Linked DNA regions of Rhinolophus ferrumequinum. The protein of the gene in region 3 purifies or fractionates together with the protein of the main gene of each other region. This does not show direct contact. Links are inferred from orthologs where the notes say so. Each region holds a gene or a part of one and is shown on either strand. Other genes may lie near its edges. The genes, in order: AKAP9, CDK5RAP2 and PRKAR2B.

The links.
Region 1: the proteins of PRKAR2B (region 3) and AKAP9 purify together in Homo sapiens (affinity purification with mass spectrometry; 3 studies listed by BioGRID and IntAct, counting the BioPlex papers as one, with this or other methods). This does not show direct contact. The link is inferred for Rhinolophus ferrumequinum from reciprocal best matches to the Homo sapiens genes PRKAR2B and AKAP9.
Region 2: the proteins of PRKAR2B (region 3) and CDK5RAP2 purify together in Homo sapiens (affinity purification with mass spectrometry; 3 studies listed by BioGRID and IntAct, counting the BioPlex papers as one, with this or other methods). This does not show direct contact. The link is inferred for Rhinolophus ferrumequinum from reciprocal best matches to the Homo sapiens genes PRKAR2B and CDK5RAP2.

The regions. Positions count from the first base shown.
Region 1 is NC_046303.1:34,138,513-34,142,262, forward strand, and holds the start of AKAP9 (A-kinase anchor protein 9), read right to left. Parts: upstream 2,347-3,750; 5' UTR 2,214-2,346; intron 1,417-2,213; 5' UTR 1,323-1,416; coding exon 1,263-1,322; intron 429-1,262; coding exon 231-428; intron 1-230. Other genes in the region: A-kinase anchor protein 9, read right to left, coding at 2,744-2,794. UniProt on the Homo sapiens protein: Scaffolding protein that assembles several protein kinases and phosphatases on the centrosome and Golgi apparatus. Required to maintain the integrity of the Golgi apparatus. Required for microtubule nucleation at the cis-side of the Golgi apparatus.
Region 2 is NC_046295.1:71,104,279-71,108,028, reverse strand, and holds the start of CDK5RAP2 (CDK5 regulatory subunit-associated protein 2), read left to right. Parts: upstream 1-1,542; 5' UTR 1,543-1,731; coding exon 1,732-1,790; intron 1,791-3,750. UniProt on the Homo sapiens protein: Potential regulator of CDK5 activity via its interaction with CDK5R1. Negative regulator of centriole disengagement (licensing) which maintains centriole engagement and cohesion. Involved in regulation of mitotic spindle orientation.
Region 3 is NC_046303.1:50,236,567-50,240,316, forward strand, and holds the start of PRKAR2B (cAMP-dependent protein kinase type II-beta regulatory subunit), read left to right. Parts: upstream 1-1,116; 5' UTR 1,117-1,255; coding exon 1,256-1,562; intron 1,563-3,750. UniProt on the Homo sapiens protein: Regulatory subunit of the cAMP-dependent protein kinases involved in cAMP signaling in cells. Type II regulatory chains mediate membrane association by binding to anchoring proteins, including the MAP2 kinase.

The DNA.
Region 1 (3,750 bases), about 16 Mb from region 3:
TTTAACATAGGCCGGTCATTTTCAAGGAACTCAGTAACGAGTATTAACTTAAAAATTTTTATTATAAGATTCCTAATTGCTTTGAAATAAATTTTAGAAACTTAAAGAGCTTTTCTGAATTACAAAATTTTGTGATTCATGTACATAACAAGATAAATATTTACCTACAAAACTTTAAAGTTAATTGTAAAGCTGCTGCAAGTTGGCTGACTTCTTTAAAATAAACATACCATTTCATACGCTTTAATTTTCTCTTGCAAAAAACTGATTTGCAATTTGAAGTCTTCCTTCTTTTTCTGATAATCTTCTAATAGATGGTCTTGTTCTTCTAGCTGCTGCTGATGAGTAAGAATCTGTTGTTTGGCTTGTAGTAAATCTGCAGCTGTGCTACTATGAGAGCTGTTTCTCAGCATTTCACTAGCTTGTAACTTGAAAACAGAAAGAAATCACAAGGTATTAAATTCTGCAGTGACGGCACTAAGGAATAGACATCTTTTGGGGTATTAGTTGGCTCACAAATGCTCTCTGGGAACTGTGCTGAATTTACAGGCTTGAGACCCCATCAAACTACTGCCATGGCTGACCAGATGAGTGTGGGCATGTTACCCAAACTGAACCAATAAGACTATCTTTCCCATGATCAAGCAGAGAAAGTAGTCTAGTGAGAGAGGTAACACTGAGACAGACATACTGAAAGAAATGGGGCCTGAAAGGCAATACTTCCTGGATTCCTGAGGACTTTCCAGTTTCTGATCCCAGTCCATTTCAGAGGCGTGGTGGTATTTCTGCCTTGAATTCTATTAAGATAAGCCTGTATCCTTATATTAAATTCCTCCCTTTTGCTTAAGCTATCTCAATTTATTTTCTGTTACTCCCAATCAGAAACCTTGATTAATACAATTAGACTCTTAGGGCTCTAATTAAAGGTAAATGGACTATATTCAGTCTAGTTACCATTTCAGACTCTAAAATAAAATCATACCAGGGTTGGCAAAGGTAGGATGTGACTACATGTTAATTTCTGCAAATCTACACTCAATCAGACTTATAAGGTTTTGTAGGATTTCAAAATACAAAGAAAGAAACCATGCAAAAAATATGAATTAAAGTCTTGGATAATATAACAAGAGGTATTAACTAGTTTTCCAAACATAATATGAAATAAGCAAATGGTTTTAAACAAATTTAAAATGGTAGTGGAAAGTGTGAAAAAAAATTAATTCCTTTCTAAAAATCTAATAAATTCTACTACTAATACTTACATGCTGAAATTGAATCTGTAATTTTTGACTTTGTTCTGTCAACTCTAAAAATTCTCTCATTGTCTCATCCTTTCTCTTCTTGCTTGTTGTAAATTAGCAGTAAGCTGGGTTATGATGCCATCTCTTTGTTTAATGGCTGCTTCAATTCTTGTAACTAAAAAACACCGATGAATAGTAAGTGCTAAACTTCTATTTTTTAACAAATCAATCATTATTATAGGTAACTGTTCTTCAAAAATATGATATTCACAACTCATTGGCAGAATCATTACAATTTGTAAGCAACCTTATTCACATTTGAAAGCTATTAGCTTGCAGGAATTGGTTTTACTTCCAAATCAACCTTTAAAAAATTATCTGAACTTAGAAACAAAACATATTAGGTCTGACTTATCCATATATCTACTGCTAGAAGGACAGTGCCTTTATATTCAGGGATGCTTCCATCTGTTCCTGGGCAACACCGTCATAGACAAGTTAAATCTCACTCATTTCTGGAGAGGGTAAAAGTGAAATGCGTTTTGTCATCCTCATCGACGTCCTATTTCATCTTGTTTTCATAACTGACTGCGACAAACAACACGTCACTTTAACCACAAGTGGTCACTTATAAGGACTCGCTGACATTTTTAATGAGTTTAAATCATCGTATTTTGATGTGGTTTGCACAATAATTTTCTCGCAGGTTGATTACAAAAACGTCTATTCTACTAAAGTGATTTCAACCTACCTATCCCATAATGTAAAATAAAAGAGTCCACGTTTTATTAGACCTGTTAATGAAATCCTAGTTTTAAAGAACGTGGTTTTGATATACACATAAGGACAAGTATCATCAGCTGACCTTAAGTTACCATTTAAAAACCCCATCTTTAAAGAATGTACGTACACTATCATTCAAATTTCCTATTTTTGTTTTTGTGAGTAACAAGACACATAAGGTAAACATACTTGCTGCAGTCCTTCAGTCCCATAGGTGGCCCTCATTTCTTCCAGTTCTCTGTTTAGTTCTTCAATATCATGCTGTTTGCCAACCAATTCATTTTCCATCATCTCTAGTTGGGTCTGATTGTATTGTGCTCCATGTTCCAAGTAAGAATCATCAACACCAAATTCTTCTTCCTAAATCAATCCAAGATTTTGAATAATTCAGTACAAACAACACTCCGCAGGAAGAATTAGTCAAATATTCAAAGCCAAGTCCACTTTAAAACATCACTCATCACCTGGGAGTTCACTGGTATGGCAAGCTCCATTGTTGTTAATGTGTTATGTACCTCAAGAGCAAAACAAGTTATCTGCAAATTCTGTTACAATTGAGTTTTACAACAAAGGCAGATAATTTTGTTTTGTTAAACCATTAAAGCATTTAAACATCACCCACAGAAAGAAATACATGCAGGAAAAAGCTTTGTTAGTAAGCCAGATGGTTTTAAATAATATAAAACATTAGTATCATAAGTAGTTTTAATACTATACCCTTAATAATTTGTAGGCTTTTCTGCTCCCACCACAAAACTGCAACCATTTACCTGTATAAAAACAATTTCCTGATATATTATGATTTTAAACAGAATTTTATTTAAAGCTAATAATTATATACCAGCTAACTGTATTCATGCCTCTTTTACGCCTAAGGAAAATGTCACATTGGCAGAAACAGATATAGTGTTTATCTAAAAGACATTATGACCATTTCAAATGCCAATCATTCCTCAAACATTTGAGTGCTTACAATCCAAAAGACACTGTAGTATACATTATCTTTAAGTGATCTAAAGTTCTAAGTGTAGTTTCTATTTTGTCTTCAGAAGGATAACTATAAACTTCAAGTTACTGGATCCTCTTCTACAAAATATTGCCTTAAAATCATTTAAATAATTGGTTTTTTTAATTAAGTCCTATTAATTTTAAAGTCAAACTGTTTACTGGTACAAATTAATTGAAGGTTGGCAAGCAGGTCAAGTTGTAGGAGGAGATGAAAAAGTGAGGAACACTCCCTCAAACTTTCACCTGGGGGTAGTACTATTATACGTATCAACCCTGACCAATGTGGACATTTTCTATAATATATTACAGCCGGTCTCTAGCTCAGGCATTTTGTGGAGGAAGAATGACTGATACAATATGTTTGCAGGGTTGACCTGGTGTGAGACTAATTTTAGATCAATTAATCTATTTAACAACCTCCTCTTCCTACCAGCAAGAGTATACAAAGGAACTTCACTCCTCCTCACATGTTAATTATTCACAATTCTATGTTAATAGAATACAAGATAATGATGTTTTTACTGTTGAAATACGTAAGGTAGAGTATCCCAGAATTAGAATTAGATCCATATGGACCACAACACTTTTAAAAATGAAGATCCTAATCAAGAGTTCTTTATCAGAGTTCGATTCCTTTGGGGTTTTTTCCCCTAATTTCTGAAAAACAAAGCTAAAGTAAAAAAACAAAAAACAAAAAAACTTTTCGCCTTTATGGCAA
Region 2 (3,750 bases), on a different chromosome or scaffold from region 3:
ATGTAGTACTGGGAAGAACTGTTGGTTTCAGGGGTTCAAGGATTGCCCCTTCCCTGGGGCAGGCCATGCGGCATGCTGCTGGTTTCTGCACACTCTCTCAGACTGTTATTTTATTGCTGATTCTAGGAGTGGTTGAAGATCTGGGGAAGCAAGAGGGACAGGTATACACCATCACTATGAGCTTTGTAGGTTTACTACTGAGGTGGTGGTTGGTGGGGTGGAGGGACGGAGGGAGGGAGAGAGCGAGAGAGTGAGAGAGAGAGAGAGAGAGAGAGTGGGATACATGGGATTACCACTGACTGAGTTACTAAAGGTATCTCAGGTCATTCTTACCTCATGACAAAAACCTTGCAGAGTAGGTTTTAGCCCCATTTTCCAGATTGATTGAATCATTCCTTCAACATATATATTTAAACACCTGGTGGGTGTGATAGTTATGGGAGATATAACAGTAAACAATTCGGAACACAGTCTCTGCCCTTATGGAGCTTCCAGTTTAGTGCAAGAGGAAGACATTAAAAAACCCCCAAATGCAGAAGTTGTTATACTTGCAAAATGTGTTAAGTGCTACGAAGGAAAAACACCATTGCTGAGATTATAAGAAAGGGCTTGATTTACCTTCGAGAATTAGAGAAGGCCTCTTTCGGAAAGTAACTCTTCAATTGAAGAAGGAGGAAACTGACGGTGCGGGTGGTCTTATACATGATTGTAGGGAAAGTCACCATCTACCCACTTGCCCATCTTTTCAAGGTATTTTCATCCAGGGCTTTCCTGGTAGCAACCTTGAGATGGGGAGACGAAGGTTGAGTTCACTGGCCAAGTTCTGCCCCAATTATCCAGGTGTTTGGTGATGGCTCTGCTTTAAGGAAGGTCGCCAGGGTTATGCAGAGATCCCTGATGCAGCTGGCAGGAGCCACAGATCTGGCTTGAGGTGACAAACTTACTGTGCATGACTTTGGGCGAGTCATTTCCTTTCTGTGTGCCTCAGCTTGCCGACCTCAGGTGCGTTTGAGCCCTAGAGGTAATAAGGAATCATTAGGCGACAGACTGCATAGTAAGTGCCGCTGACCACTTGGCTCATAGGAAGGAGCTTGTTTGTTTCAAACTAAGTGCACAAATTACTACTTGAGTTGGGATTCTACAGGTTGGATTTTTCTAAAGCGAAGCAGCACCCGATTATCTGAGTTTCAAGACAAGGCAGAAGCCTTTTGGAAGCACACACTGCAAGGTTCGGGGTCATTATCCTAGAAACACACACACCAGGTTTTACGAATTCTGAGCATCCGTGAGGGGGTGCATTCCCGACTCCCGCTTCAATGAACCAACCGAGGCCGGCTTTCGCCCTCAGCAAAGATGGCGCCCGCCCCGCCTCGGCCTGGATACCCTCACAAAAAATGGCAGCTGGCCCCTCTGTCGTTCGACTCGCGGGCCCCAATGCGGACGCCCTGCCCTTTGTTAAGATGGCGCCTGCCCGCGCATCCCTGCCCGGCTTCGGGCCGCAGCCGGTCGGCTTCAGTGAAAGCTCCTCGGTGACCCCGCCTCGTTTCCGTAGGAAGAAGCGCCGGGAAAGATGGCGGCGGCTGCGGTTTGAATTCCAGCGGCGCCGCCAGAGTCCGAACAAGAGCTGGATTGGAGGGGGCGGGGACCTGGGGAACCCGGCGGGTCGCGACCGCGTGGGGAACCAGTGGTGCCGCTGCCACAAGCACCAGTGCTACCACCTCCTCTGTGTCCATGATGGACTCGGTGTTGGAAGAGGACGTCACCCTCCCCGGGACGCTCAGCGGCTGCAGGTGCGGCCCGCATTTTGGGGGTTCGCGATAACCGGGTCGGGGTTCCAGCTGTTGAGGGTTCGCTCCAACGGAGACTTGGGGTTTGCTCTTGAAGGTGTTTGAAGGTTTGCAGACAGGGGCAGTGTGTAAGGTGGGTTTTTTTGGGGTGCGGGGTGCCTCCTTAGGGACCCACCAGCTGATACTGAGTGGGGCGGGGGGGTACGACCTGCACCACACCCGCCTCTCGTATTTCGGGACATACGGGGAAGGGGATGTGAGGGACAGGTAAGGGATTCTCCGAAAGAGCGGGACAAGGGGGACCTCTTAGAGTGGACCCTTAGTGGAGGCTGGTTGGGGGCAGGACCTTGGGAGTTTGCTGTCATTATGGTGAGTGTAGTTGGTCTGTGCAGACTTTGCTAGGGGGTCACATAGTGGCCACCAAGACTGAGGCAGAGGTTAAGAACCTTGGCTGGAGTTGAACAGAATTGGGTTCAAGTCCAGCCCTTTAAACTAACTAGCTGTGTGACCTTGGTAGAGTGGCTCAACCTGCCTCCTCGTCTGTAAAATGGGGCTACTAGTAAAATCCACCCAACAGAGTCGGGGTGAGGGTTAAAGGAGAAGGTGTCTGCCCCTGTCCAGTAGTTTGTTTGGCAAGTGTAGTGCCTGGCACATAATCAGTGCCAAAAAATTGACTGTGTTGCCTCCATCATTGTCAGTAGAATGGGGAGTAATGGTCGAGAGAGTGGCCTCCCAAAGGACCTGCCCAACGAGGCAGTTGGAGTCCACATTGCTGGTGGCGCCGGTCTCTCTCCTTCTGGTAGGAAGGCCTGGCAGAGCCGGGCATGGCCCCAGGGCCAGGGCCCTTTGGTTGCCCAGGGCTCCTGGTTGGATAGTGAGTAGAAGGATGCAGAGGAGAGCCTGACTGAGAATCCGCAGTGTTTATCCAAATCTACTAGGGACAGGCTGCTTCTTTTAGTCAACAGACCCTAATTGAAAGGGTGACCATGTTATTTGTTGTGTAAACCCAGACACTTTTAAGAGTGAAATGGGCACAATTAATACATATGCCTGGACAGCAGGCATAAACAGGTCCAATCATGGGCAAACCTGGACAAATGGTTACTTTGTTTATTGAGAACCTACTGTGTATAAGGTCGAGAAGGCCCTTTGCAGCTCCTGCCTCGTTGGATCCTGTGGCAGTTCATGTCCCTTTCTCTTCATCTTACTAGACTACCCAGATATCTTGGGGGACGACCTCTCACCTGGATTGTCATATTTTCCTTCATGCCCCTAATAGTCCTTTATACCACAGCTTGAAAGCTCTTTCTAAAATGTACATCTGATCATCACAGTCTGCACTTTATGTTTAATGCTTCTCATGGCCGTTAAGATAAAGTCCATTATTCTCTCAGACAGCTTTTCTCATCTCAGTGCTAGTTGGCCAGACCTAGCTGGTGGGTTTCAATCCCAGTTCTGCCACTTATCAATCCTGTGACGTTGGACAAGTCACTTATTCTCTGGGAGCCTCAGTTTTCATCATCTGTAAAGTGGGTGAGTCTAGAAGCGTTTTAGCCCAGTGTCTGATCCAGCAACTCAGCAGATCATCAGATAGTCTCCCTTCCTTCCTCTCCCTGACTTCGCAGGGAGAAGGGGCTGCATATATTCCTGGCAACTAATCTCTTACTCACCTGCTCAGACCCTCCCCGGCTCCTTTCCAAACTCAGGATGGAGTTGTTTAATGCAGCTTCTAGGGTCGTTCCTAGTCTGGCCCATCAACTTCACAGCCTCCTTGGTCCTCCCTCTCCCTACCCTGTCTTCTCCCCGGGCTCACCTGGCTGCCAGATTCTTTGTCATGAATGCCTTGTCCTTTCTTACTTCTCGGCCTGTGCACTTTCTGTTCCTGCTGCTTGGATTGCCCTCCCTCCACCCCTTTGCCATATTAATGCCTACTGTTTTTCAGGTCTCACTTTAGATGTCACTG
Region 3 (3,750 bases):
GAAATATTTTTTTTATAATGGTATGGTAGTCATTGTAGAAAATGAAGTACGTGTTTTTACCAGCATTTAATTGTCAAAAGACAATTTTATAATTCAAAATTGTAAATATTTGCAGAAGAAGCCTCATTTCAAAGTCAAGGATTTCTACTTTAAAAGTACACATCTCTAATTCTATTTCTCTTTATATTGAAGTATTCTTATTTTTGGTGATATCATTCGAAATCACTCAAGCATAAGGGAAACTTTTAGAATAATAAGAGCCTAATCAAGCAAAGCTTGTCTTCCTTTAGGACCGTCTGTCCTGACCATGACATTTTATTCCAATTGCTGCACTATCCTGTTTGAAAGGCATCGACTAACTTTGATAAGTGCCTCACAATTAAATGATAAAAAATACACAGGGCAGACAATAGTACAGTATTAGTAAAGCAAAACATATTCAACAGGATGGAAGGAGAGAGGTTGGATAAAATGTGGTGAAAGAAAAAGAAAGGTGTCACAAAGATGGGGTATCACTTCTTTGTCCAAAAGAGAACCAGTACCACTCTTTGACTTTAAGCAAAAGACTTTACCCACACTTATCAATGCAACTAGGTTCTCGGAGGAAAATAAAATGCCGCTACCGAGGTGGAGGCTGAAGTTTCAGGGAAAATCGCGTGGCACCGGCTCTGCGTGGGTTCCCCGCGGTGCATGACGTGTGGGAATTCGGCGGAGTGGCCCGCTGGCTCCGGGCACGCGGACAGGTGGACAGCGAGGCGCGCCTGGTCGGCGGGGGCAAAACCCGAGGTAGTGTTGAGTGGGGGCCCCAAACCTCGGCGACGCGCCGGGCAGCGTTCCCAACAAGCCCGCAGGCGACCGCCAGCGTCCGGGCCCCTGTGAGCGGCGGGTGCGCGGCGCCCTGCCGGCGGGGTTGCCATGGTTTCCGGGGTCACGTGGGCGCGCTCCGGCGCTCCTCCAGCGCGCCGCGGCGGGGCGGGGCGGGGGCGGCGGAGAGGAGCGGCCGTGGCGGAGCGGGAGGAGCGGAGATGCTGCCAGCCCTCCCGGGGCCGCTCGCTCAGCCGCCGCCGTCGCTCGGAGCAGCCGCGCGCCGTGAGCCGCGCGCCGGGCCAGCCGGGCCGCTGGGGCCCAGTGCTCCGCGCTCGCAGTCGGCAGCGCCGCCAGCGCCGTCCGTGCTCGCTTGGCGCCCGCGGGGCCCGAGGCCGGTCCGGGGAAGGGGCGAGGGCGGCGCCCAGGCGCCCGCCGCACGGGAGGCAGGATGAGCATCGAGATCCCGGCGGGACTGACGGAGCTGCTGCAGGGCTTCACGGTGGAGGTGCTGAGGCATCAGCCGGCGGACCTGCTAGAGTTCGCGCTGCAGCACTTCACGCGCCTGCAGCAGGAGAACGAACGCAAAGGCGCCGCGCGCTCGGGCCATGAGGGCAGGACCTGGGGGGACGCGAGCGCCGCCGCCGGGGGCGGCACCCCCAGCAAAGGGGTCAACTTCGCAGAGGAGCCCATGCACACAGACTCCGAGGACGGAGAACAGGAGGAGGAGGAGGCCGCCGACACCGGGGCGTTCAACGGTGAGGATCGGCCCCTGCGCGCCCCCGCTCCCCACCGCCGTTTCCCCCTTTGCTGTTGAATCCTGTAGCTGTTCTCACCTCTCCCCGCATTCTCCACCTTCCCTACCTTCCTGCCCACCCCCTCAGCATCCATTTCTGTCTCTCCCATTCGCCCACCTTCCTACTCTGTTCTCTTGTCAGCCTTTCCTCTCGTCCTCTCCTCTGGAGGTCGGGAGCTGAGAGGTTAGAGTTCTCTGCCCATCTACACCCTCTGGTCCTAGGCTGGGAAGCGCAGGACGGCCGGCTTGGGGTTGGCATCTGCAAGGCAACTTTTCACTGTGGTTGGCGATACTGCGCTGGGCAGATGCCATTGTGCATAAAGGAAATTGGCCCACTTGGCGTCCTCTTTCAGCCGTTATGTTTATTAACGGAGTGTCCAGAGCGAAAAGGCGAGGGATGTTCAGCTGGATTGGGCTTTGTTTAGGAGGGCAAATTCTCTAACAGGAGCATGAAATTGTACTCACTGGGGCAGAACAAAATTTATGGCGATAAGCTTTGACATTCTTGGAAACAGAGTAATCTATTATTTTCCAATTTACCAACCGCGTTGTGTTTTTTTTTAGATGCACGACAAAGGATTCTTTCTAGCAAGCAGCCCACGGGGTCTGTGGAATGAGGAAACGGGCTAATAGTTTGCTTTTTATTTAAAACAAATATTGAATGATTTGGTGCCTGTTTTAAAAAAGTGTGTGAAAAACACTGTAGGAAGTTTTTGAAAGCTTGTTGGTTGTCTTTAGAATGAAAAGCCAGTGAGTAATTGTAAGGACTGTGCCAGGCACTGAAGCTAGAAAGAATGAATGGGGGAGAGAAAAAGGGATTTTCTCGAATAGCTACTCCTGGCAAGTCCCACCCCTTCTGCTTACAACCGTCTTTTCCACACACAGACACACATGCACGTTACAGCTTCCTGTATTTACACAAATGCCTAGATCCCATCTCGGTGGCACCCCAAGCTAAAACAACATGTGTGCAGTGTGCAAGTGTTTCTCTTTGTGGTATAAGGCAAACCTGCATTCAGCATTGCACCAGCTTTTATTCACTTACGCTGCTTGTGGTTTGTGTGTCTGCAGCGCATTTCATATAATGAAAACATTTTAAAGTGTCATTTTCTTGTGTATGTTCCCAGGTAGGTGTTTCTTTTCTTTGCAAAATTCTTGAAATGTGTTATAAAATTAATATTTTTAGCTTGTTTGAAACAATCACAAAACCCCTGCAAATTAGTGCTCTATAAAGATAAAAGGAAAGATTGTTACTTAAATTTTTTTATTTTGGATTTTTTAGTGTTTCCAAGGGTAGGATGATCAGTCTTAATTGTTCTTTTTGCACAAGAATTTAATCAAATGTTTTTCTTCCTAGAAACAAGGAAAGGAAAAAGAATACATCTTTTAAATAGATGCAGAGGAGAAGCCATTAGTGGATGACACAGAAAGAGCAGAGGCATCTAATACTTCTTTTAACGCTCCAACATGCAAACACACATGCGCACACACAAACACATGCGCACATGCAAACACACATGCACCCACACAAAGGAAAAAAGGGCTAGTTCCAAGATTGGAGGAAACTAGGAATTGGTAAAGAACCTATACATGTTTGATACAGTATGTTGTTAGTATAGCTAAAATCTTTTGTTTGTATAATGCTTTTGAAGTAATTGGCATTGATGATTCCATTTTTTTCCTTACAACAGTGTATATTGTGTACAGAACAGCTTTTATTTCCATTTTGCAATGAAAAAAATAATCCATTAAGTTATAAGCAGCAGGAATCATTTTATATGGTTCTATATTCTCCCAGATACCTTTATTGTAAAAATTACTGAGTGAGTTTTAATAAATACTTGTTAACCAATTGTGCTTGTTAGCCCCAGCCATACCCCCAAGGGCTTAAAAACTTTTTTGACTGCAACCAGATCATAACCAACACACACACAATTTGATCATAACCCAACACACACACACACACACACACACACTCACACACGAACTGTGGCAATGTTACTTCCCTATAGTAGGTGTAGTTGTAAATGTCTACCCAAAGATTTTCTTTTATGATCAGTTCTCTCCTATTTTTTAAAAAATAAATTATGTTGAGACCTGGAGTTTAAAAACAATTACAGGCTACCAAGGGGCTGGCATACTTTTTTGTA